Saccharomyces cerevisiae S288C: one gene and its partners. The gene in region 2 interacts genetically with the main gene of each other region. Each region holds a gene or a part of one and is shown on either strand. Other genes may lie near its edges.

Region 1 (3,125 bases), on a different chromosome or scaffold from region 2:
CAACTTCAAGGCCAGCCTCAAGCCCAAGCTCCCCAACCTTTAATCCAGCATAACGTGGAACAGAACGTTTTACCTCAAAAGAGATACATGGAAGGTGCAATCCACACTTTAGTAGATGCCGCCGTATCCAGTAGCACCCACACAGAGAATAACACAAAGTCTCCTCGTCAACCAACCCATGCCATTCCAACGCAAGCTCCCGCAACAGGAATAACGAACGCTGAACCACAGGTAAAGAAGCAAAAGTTGAACTCTCCAAATTCAAACATCAACAAATTAGTAAATACTGCTACTTCCATTGAAGAAAATGCAAAATCTGAGGTGAGCAACCAATCGCCAGCAGTAGTGGAGTCTAATACCAATAATACTTCACAAGAAGAAAAACCTGTAAAAGCAAACTCAATACCTTCAGTAATTGGCGCACAGGAACCTCCACAGGAAGCTAGTCCTGCTGAAGAAGCTACCAAAGCAGCTTCTGTTTCTCCTTCTACAAAACCGCTTAATACGGAACCAGAGTCATCTAGTGTCCAACCAACTGTATCATCAGAAAGTTCAACAACAAAAGCAAATGACCAAAGCACTGCTGAGACCATAGAACTTTCTACTGCTACTGTTCCTGCAGAAGCAAGCCCTGTAGAAGACGAAGTAAGACAGCATTCTAAAGAGGAAAACGGCACAACTGAAGCATCTGCACCTTCTACTGAAGAGGCGGAGCCAGCAGCTTCCAGAGATGCTGAAAAACAACAAGATGAAACCGCTGCTACAACGATAACTGTAATCAAACCTACTTTGGAAACAATGGAAACAGTGAAAGAGGAGGCCAAAATGCGTGAGGAAGAGCAAACATCTCAAGAAAAATCCCCACAGGAGAACACACTTCCAAGAGAAAATGTAGTAAGGCAAGTGGAAGAAGATGAAAACTACGACGACTAAAAAGTTTGCATTCAAAAAATTAATCTACTAATTTATAATCAACGAGAAATGTTGTGTAGCTCACAATTCATTCATTATGTTGTGGATACATATATAAATAAAGAAAAGGCTAAAAAAAAAGGTGGGTAACGTGAATTAGGTTATTTTTCATATATGCACATGTAAATATATGCGTATATAAATATATTATTATTTGTATCATTACATACTTAAAATCTATTATTGCTTAAAAGGTTTTCCCGATGAGCATATGTAATAATATTGGGAATTAAGGTGCATTTTCGTATCCTTCATTGTGTATCTACAATCTCTTCAAGAAATTCCCTTATTTGCTTTAAAACGGTTTCCCTTGTTGAATCCGATACCATTTCTAGAAAAAAAAATTCCACTGTTAGTAACGTTCTCTTTTCAATAAATTTAGTGATAAAATATTCACATACCTAATGCTTTGGGTTCTACGGTGGATAAAATTTGGGTAAAGTTCGTAGATTCATTTATGTTCATCTCTGATTTGGTCAAATCTTTGACTTTATCCACCCAACCTTCTTGAAGTAGTCTGGCTTTTAGTTCGTTTGAAATTCTAATAAATGTGACGGTGATCTGAATAGTCAGTAAAGTAGATTTTTTAAAAAAGACAACCCCTATAATATTTTATCATACAGTTCATAGTTTCCTGATTCTACAAGATATTGTTGTATTTGACTCTTTAATTGCGCAGTATCCATAGTCATTGGAGTGAAGGCCAGAATTGTTACTTCTGATTTTGTCGCATGTGTTGGTCAAGCCATGCCTATGGCAATTTTCATTTTTTATTTTTCATAATTCCTCATTTTGGTCTTCATGGAGGAAGAGGTCCGGCAAGCGAATACACTTCCGTAAGGGATGGCAAGTACGGCCGTTAGCGGTTTAATACAACGTCAGACAGCCTTCATATGAATCACGTATATATGCTTTTATGATTATTCTTTCGGCATTTTCCTTCCTTCTCATACTTAGATGTTTTTGAGAAACGTAAGAGTTATTTCCCTCAATTCAAGGAGACTATTTAGAACTATGAGCACCGTCAAGGGTAAACCAGAAGATGCTAAAATAATTGAAGCCCGTCACGTTAAAGAAACATCTGACTGCAAGTGGATCGGTTTACAAAAAATCATCTACAAAGATCCCAACGGGAAGGAAAGGGAATGGGATAGCGCAGTCCGCACCACTAGAAGTTCCGGTGGTGTAGACGGCATTGGTATCTTAACCATTCTAAAATACAAAGATGGAAAACCTGATGAAATTTTGCTACAAAAGCAGTTTCGCCCTCCCGTTGAGGGCGTATGCATTGAGATGCCAGCCGGTTTGATAGATGCGGGTGAAGATATTGACACTGCTGCCTTAAGAGAATTAAAAGAAGAGACTGGTTACAGTGGTAAAATAATTTCTAAAAGCCCAACAGTTTTTAACGATCCTGGTTTCACAAACACCAACCTCTGTCTGGTTACTGTCGAAGTTGATATGAGTTTACCTGAAAACCAAAAACCAGTTACTCAATTGGAAGATAATGAATTTATCGAATGCTTTAGCGTTGAGTTGCACAAGTTTCCTGATGAAATGGTTAAGTTGGATCAACAAGGCTACAAGTTGGATGCACGTGTTCAAAACGTAGCTCAAGGTATCCTCATGGCCAAGCAATACCACATCAAATAGATAGCGATAAGTAGTGTTTCTGTATGAAAAATAGGCGAGATGTTAATACCAAAATACAAAGTACCTTTTGCAACAAGATAGTGTCCCATTTATGAATAAGTACATTGAAAAAGAAGGACGTAATGAAAATAACATTCCGTAGGAAATTTGACAAGGCTATTTGCCATCTTAAGTAGTCAGCATTGAGGTATATTTTCCAAAGCGCGACGTTACGTGTTACCAAATTTTGAATCTAAACTAGCCCTTTTCTACTATTTCCACTGATCTACCTTACGATTCTGCAAAAAACTACCATTAATATCTGTTGAAATCAGTGGTAGTGCTCCTTGTATGTCATACATGGTTAGTGTTCCTTGATTTAAGTATTTGGCTACAGCTTGGACATTGCCGAAGGGCGGCAGAACTGTCTGATAATTGCTGGGATTCAAATTAACGATGAGGGCACAACATCACCTACAAGAAATATAAAAGAAGTAGTCCTTGAGGATATATTTATCAAC
Region 2 (4,147 bases):
TCTCAATGGGAGATAACATCTAAAGACGAACTAAGGACTACTAAATCGGATTTTGACTTCGTTATTGTTGCGTCTGGTCACTACAGTGTCCCTAAACTACCAACTAATATCGCAGGTCTCGATCTATGGTTCGACAATAAGGGCGCCTTTCATTCTAAGGATTTCAAAAACTGCGAGTTTGCCCGTGAAAAAGTCGTTATTGTGGTGGGAAACGGCAGTTCCGGCCAAGATATTGCCAACCAACTAACTACCGTTGCAAAGAAAGTATATAATAGTATAAAAGAGCCTGCGAGCAATCAACTGAAGGCCAAGTTAATCGAGACTGTCCAAACAATAGACAGTGCCGATTGGAAAAATCGTTCAGTTACTTTATCTGATGGAAGAGTACTTCAGAATATAGACTACATTATTTTCGCCACAGGCTATTATTACAGCTTTCCATTTATAGAGCCCTCCGTTAGACTGGAAGTGCTAGGTGAGGGTGTTACTGGCGACAAGCACTCGTCTGTCAATCTGCACAATTTGTGGGAGCACATGATCTATGTAAAAGATCCTACGCTGTCCTTTATCTTGACCCCGCAGTTGGTCATCCCGTTCCCGTTGTCGGAACTACAGGCGGCTATTATGGTCGAAGTATTCTGTAAAAGCTTACCGATAACTACAACTTTCGACTCTAATGCCTGCGGAACGCACAACTTCCCAAAGGGAAAGGACCTGGAATACTATGCAGAACTACAGGAACTACTGAATAGCATTCCACGTAGGGTCGGTCATTTCGAACCAGTTGTATGGGATGATAGACTGATCGATCTAAGAAACAGTAGTTATACAGACAAAGAAGAAAGAAATGTGCTTCTAGCGGAACACGCACAAGCCCTAAAGAAAAAAAAAGCACCATACTTCCTTCCGGCGCCACATACTTAACGTAAAAAGGAATGTACTTGTATAGAAAAAACACATATTGTGCCGCTTAATATTTCGTTTCCCTCATGTATATACCTTATCGCTGTTAAAATAAGAAATCTTCACTTCTGCTATCTTTTTTTTTCAAACATTGATTAATAATCCGGCCGTCCGCAGATTGCTTACGCAGAATATACCGTACCGCCACCGTAAAATTAACGAATACTTAAATTTCCGCCTCTTCCGTTTCGGCAATAGCGAACCTTAATGTAAGTTTTTAAAAGGCAGCGCCAAAAATTGCTCTGAAAGGCCTGCAGTGCTTCGCGGCTACGCAGTTCCCATGTAAAAAAAAAAGAAAACTTTCTTTTTGAATCTGGAAAATCCGCACAGGCGCGCCAGCATAAACCTCAGTATCCTGCAAAGGCCATCCTTTTAAAGATCTTAACAACGTATGAATCTGAGGCAGAGAGAAATTAAGCGATAAACGTTCCTTTTAGACTTTCACTTTCTTGGCCGTCATTTAAAAAAAAATTATCTAATAATCTCTAATTTTAAGTTGAAATCACGCTAACATATGACTATGACTATTAACCTTTTTATGTGGAAAAAAAAGGAAGAATATGTTGTAAACGTATTTTAGCCTTGTTCCCGGAACTTTAATCACTCTGGCAACTTTTTAAGTAGTCTGTCTTTTTCTCGGTCGTATATTCCTCAAAATTCAAGAGGAAAGAGGAAGTGAAGAAGAAAGCCTAGAAAAAAAAAATAGGCATTAACACAAAAACGCACCTAAGGGACTGAGGAAAATCAAAAAAATGATAATTGCAGTTAGTAAATCTTCATAATCGACGCCCACTTATTCTTTCTTTATAGTACCGGGTAGGCGGGTAATTCATACGTAGCTGCTGCGGGAGAACTACTATGTATCATTCCCTGTTTATTTGTATGAATTATTATTTAATACGTACATTCTTGTAAGCCCTTCTTCAACAAAACAAACAAATAAAGCGAGAAAAAAGGGAACCACGAATTAAGATAATTAATCAAACAATAGATAGGAAAAGGAGATCGACGAGTAAGCGTAAGAATGATGGATATCAGCCCTACCTGTTATGGGTACATCGACGACGAGCAAGATCTAGCCCTTGTTTTCCAGGGCGTATTCAATGGAAATTTGAGATGCATCGAACGGAGGCCATATGATGCAGAAAAGGTTGAATTAGTCAACCCCGGAAACATTTTTGTTTTCAACGAAGAGAAATCCGGCATCAAAAGATGGACAGATGGTTTTTCTTGGTCTCCTTCAAGAATTTCAGGCAAATTTCTCGTATATAGAGAGTATAATAGGCTGGGTTCCACGCACGATCTACCGCTGCATAATGTACCTGAGTATAATATCTTCGAGAGGGCTCATAGGAAGTATTTTTATACTGGACTACTGAAAAAAACATTTTCTCTAAAATTCAATATGGATCCCACCGACAGCACTAAGCTGGAAACATTTCATCTTATTGCGTACTATACGGAAAAGGATATTCATCAAGGAAGTTTGAGGAGACCTTCAGAAAATCCTTTCTTCCATAAATTTCGACCTTCACAGAAACTATTAGATGCTTTACAAAAAGTTGCTGTAGGAAATGGCAGATCTAACCCGTCTAAAAATAATGAGAGAGGCAGAACCAAAGCTCATAATTATAAAACGCGCAGGTCTTTATCATCTTCTCCGAGCTATTGTGATCTCTTGAGCAATTATAACAACCATCCTGGAAATATTCCAGTTAGGACCGCAGTTCAGTTACCTTTAACCACCTTCAATAACGCTCCTCGAGAAATGCACCAACAGCAGCACCGACAACAGCAACAATATCTCTTACCCATAGATGAACAGAATAAATTACCTCTCCCGTATATGCAGCACCAGCCACAACCAATTGGTGTTTACAATCCTAACTATCAGCCTGGATTGAGACGTACGGTCTCACAACCTATGATTTTCTGCAATACATACAATACTCTCCCGCAACAACCTACTGCAGCACCTTATGAACGGCGTGGCGTGTCGCCTTCAGTGATATACTCCTCCAATACATTGAGCCCAATACCATACCAAAATATCGATCCATACTCTTCGAGGTCGGGTCCTGAATGCAATCACTCTAAGGCGCCTATCGCCCCAACAATGATGCCCCCAGTACACCATATACTTGTGCATGATTACCGACAACCAAAACCAGTCACAGATTCTATTAATCCTCCAAATGTAAACATAACCACCTCCACAACCAACAAGAACCTAGATGGCATTTATATTTTGCCAGCTCCTCGTATGAATCCCCCGGCTCAAACACAATACCAAATGATTCATGCGCCAGACAGCATGCAACATCCACCAACATTTAGTAAAAACAACACATCAAGCAATCCTAAATCCCACCAATACTCAAAGTAGAAGATCAGCATCCTTTCAATTGCTGAAAGGTTCACCTAAAGTACCGCTCATATTCCAAAAGGATTCTTCACTACATAGAAAGGGCAGCCAATTGTGTGTTTTTCAGAAAGGGTTTTAAAAAAACAGGAGGGTGCTTGTTCTTGTTGTTCCCTACCATCGATGGATTTCGAAAAACTATTTATAGGACCATCTGATTTTCACCTCCATCATTGTATCATATACTAACAAGCATATCCAAATTTGTAATTCTATCATGAAATTTCCAGAGAAAGAAACGCAAGGGAACTGAGAAATCAAACCTAAAAACGGTTCTTGGCATTGTTATGAAAAATGAATAAACCAGGGGGGCAAAACAATCGAGAACCCCAATCAAAACCATGTGAGATACCCACTTCGAAAGTTACTGATATTATAACTCTTGTGTCCTCTCTTCTAATACCTTACTTTCACCTTTCTCACGTAGTTAAAGTTGCAACAACACATTTTGTCCTCATCCAATTTCTTCTATAGAATATCCGTTTGCCTCCAGGAGTGAAGAAATGATAGCAGTAACACTGTGAAAGCGAGACTAAGAGAAACGACTTAAAGCTCGAAGACTTCTTGAGGATACGTTTATGTTTCTGTGGCTTCTTCTTCGCGGCGCGGTTCTCGCGTATAGGAATGTTCTAAGACAAGAAGGCATGAAGTTATGTTAACAGATTCTATATCTACTCGCTACGCATATATAAACGGATTCATCATTGAAACAATGGTACTTGTGGTAATGTGTACGACGATTTCAACCCGAATAAAAGCAAA
Region 3 (3,211 bases), on a different chromosome or scaffold from region 2:
TCCACACTCCTAGTATTCCCGGTAGTATTCTTTTCGCAACCTAAAATTTCACGTAGCAGAGAAAATCGGAGTCTTGAAAGTGTTAACCATAAAATTTCATTGATAAAATGATCTTCGAGGCTTTCTGCTATCCAAATCCACGTTTCTTTTTATTTATTTATTAAAAACCATAAAGTAAAAACTTTGTTAAGGCTTGGAAGCGACCGAGCGCAGACCGCTTGTGTCATCGATTACTCAGATAGGAAATCTTTTATTTATCACCCGCTGAAGCACGCAGCAACAACCGGTTGACCGACGCAATTCTTTGTTTACTTTTCCTTCTACTCATGATCTTCTGTTCCATTTGCCACCCGATCGAAGAAAAAATTTTACGGCCAGTTGCTTCTTGGGCGTAAGGCTCCGATCTTTACGAAGAAATCTTAATTTTTGCCTGAAAGCATGGCTTAAAAGCCGAAAAAGCAAAACTTAATGATTGACAGATCTTTTTTAGGAAATTTTTTGACGGTGAAAAACCCGGCTTCTAGAAAAAAAAACGATGGGAAAAAAGAACTGGAAAAAAAAAACTTTAAACTTTGCTTATGTCAAATTTAAATTTCAATTCGGAATTAACACCTGCCGCCCCCGTTTATTGTCCAGCGGGGAGTCTTTGTCGTACTTTCTTCTTTTCTTCTTCTTTCTTAATGAAGCACCTAGTTTAAGGATAAAAAAGATTATATCGCTTGTCTATGGCTTACGTAAACATTATTTCTTTGATATACTATTCCGTTAGAATGGAAGGGGGCCATATGATTCTGATTTTCTTGGCCTGGGGGGATGGAAATTTTCCTTTTAGAGCTGCCTGTACAAGACCGAGTGTTCGTTCCTCCTTTAGCATAGAAAATACGGTTATTAGATTATTGGGGCATTTGGCCTGCTTCCATCTTAACGCGAACAAATACTATTCAAGAACTTGTGCTACCTCTTGAAACCAAATGTTAAACTGTTCTGCCATATTTGAAAATAATTTCAAAGTTGTGGGAAAAATATTTTGCCATCATACGACAAACGTTTCTCTGGCTGTGACTGATAGTCGTGTAGGTCCTGTATTATCTTGCTGACAAACATCTTAAAAAGTCTTTTGGAAAAAGAAAAAAATAAACTTTCCTTCTTTTTTTTTTGGTTCCTGCGGCTCTTTCAAGGGGCTGCCAAACCTTATATTCTCCTCCTGTCATTTTAGAAGGAGAGGTAGCGGTCTTTTCTTTTTTTTCGTGCCTACACGCGCACATGACGATAAAACTGGCCCAGGCGAGATCAGATCAGCATTTGCACGTTGCATTTTACTTGTTTTCTTATTGGCAAAGAAAAAAAGCTCGGAACAAGCCACTAATACCCGATTCTATGCTTACAGAATAACCGATACTACTGGAAAGAAAAATTTTTCACATTAGTTCGCTGCATCTCCATGATCGTTTAATTATTTTATATTTAAGAGAAGCAAATCACTTCCTCCAATGTCATGATGGTCTTGGCAATTTTCCTCCCCTTGTTGCAAAAGTGTAAAATAGGTATCCACATCATTCATAAGAAAACTACTAATATCATTTTGCCTCCTATTTGCGGCCTTGCTCACAAATTCAGCGACTGCTGATAGAATTGATGACAAGGTGAGCCCTTCATTTGATCTAAGCAAAAGAGACGAAAGCGTTGCTATCAATGGTTGTCCAAATTTGGATTTCAACTGGCACATGAGCCAACAGAATATACTACATTATGATATGGATGTTACTTCCGTATCATGGGTCAAGGATAACACATACCAGATTACTATTCATGTCAAAGCCGTAAAAGATATCCCTTTGAAATATTTATGGTCTTTAAAGATTATTGGTGTCAACGGTCCCTCAAGCACCGTACAACTTTACGGCAAAAATGAGAAGACATACCTAATCAGTGATCCAACAGATTTTACATCCACTTTTCAGGTTTATGCTTACCCTTCTTCTGACGGTTGCACAGTTTGGATGCCAAATTTCCAAATCCAGTTCGAATATCTACAAGGTGATGCTGCTCAGTACTGGCAAACTTGGCAATGGGGGACAACCACCTTCGATTTATCGACAGGTTGTAACAATTATGACAATCAAGGCCACTCACAAACGGATTTCCCTGGATTTTATTGGACCTACCAGTGCAAGGGAAACAATGATGGCACTTGTACAAAAGCCTCGTCTTCATCCATTACTACTTCATCCATTACTACTTCATCCACTACTACTTCATCCACTACTACTTCATCCACTACTACTTCATCCTCTACTACTTCATCCTCTACTACTTCATCCTCTACTACTTCATCCTCTACTACTTCATCCTCTACTACTTCATCCTCTACTACTTCATCCTCTACTACTTCATCCTCTACTACTTCATCCTCTACTACTTCATCCTCTACTACTTCATCCTCTACTACTTCATCCTCTACGAAAACTTCCACTACTACGTCATCTACTGTGAAAAGCTCTTCCACTACATCCATTGATTTTACTACTTCCGTTGACTCACATACTTCATCAAGCGTAGCCGATATTTATCGTTCAAGAACATCTACTGATGTCACCACATTAGCAGCTTCAACTAGTCCTTTCAGCAGTTTCACTTCAAGTGACTCTAGTAGTTCAAGCGATGTAACCAGTTCAACCATTCAAACTACTTCTGTTGATCCAACCACTTAAGTAGTAAGTTCAAGTTCAGAAGACCCAACTAGTTCAAGCGCTGTGACTACTTCAGTTGACCCAACTACTTCAGTTGACCCAAATACTTCAGCTGATCCAACTACCTCGACCGTTCAAACTACTTCTGTTGATCCAACTACTTCAGTTGACCCAACTAGTTCTATAGTCAGTTCTACTTCAGTTGATCCAACTACTTCAGTTGACCCAACTACTTCAGCTGACCCAACTACCTCGACCGTTCAAACTACTTCAGCTGATCCAACTACTTCCGTAGTCAGTTCAAGTTCAGCTGATCTAAGTAGCTCTGTTATCAGTTCAAGTTCAGCAGACCCAACTAGTTCAAATGCTGTGACTACTTCAATTAACCCAACTACTCCAGCTGATTCAACTACTTCGGCCGTTCAAACTAGCCCAGCTGATCCAAGTAGCTCTGTTACCATTTCTACTTCCACAGACTCTACATCTTCAATTGAGTATACTACATCGGATGATCCACACGC

What was found. Genes that interact genetically often act in the same process or in processes that back each other up.
Region 1: mutations in ROF1 (region 2) and YSA1 together harm fitness more than expected from each alone (negative genetic interaction), as found in Saccharomyces cerevisiae (one large-scale study listed by BioGRID).
Region 3: mutations in ROF1 (region 2) and BSC1 together harm fitness less than expected from each alone (positive genetic interaction), as found in Saccharomyces cerevisiae (one large-scale study listed by BioGRID).

What each region holds. Positions count from the first base shown.
Region 1 is NC_001134.8:460,678-463,802, reverse strand, and holds YSA1 (ADP-ribose diphosphatase), read left to right. Parts: upstream 1-1,929; coding exon 1,930-2,625; downstream 2,626-3,125. Other genes in the region: transcription regulator CYC8, read left to right, coding at 1-933; SUS1 (Sus1p), read right to left, coding at 1,224-1,303, 1,374-1,513, 1,594-1,664.
Region 2 is NC_001140.6:454,604-458,750, forward strand, and holds ROF1 (Rof1p), read left to right. Parts: upstream 1-1,987; coding exon 1,988-3,349; downstream 3,350-4,147. Other genes in the region: FMO1 (N,N-dimethylaniline monooxygenase), read left to right, coding at 1-924.
Region 3 is NC_001136.10:384,101-387,311, reverse strand, and holds BSC1 (Bsc1p), read left to right. Parts: upstream 1-1,724; coding exon 1,725-2,711; downstream 2,712-3,211.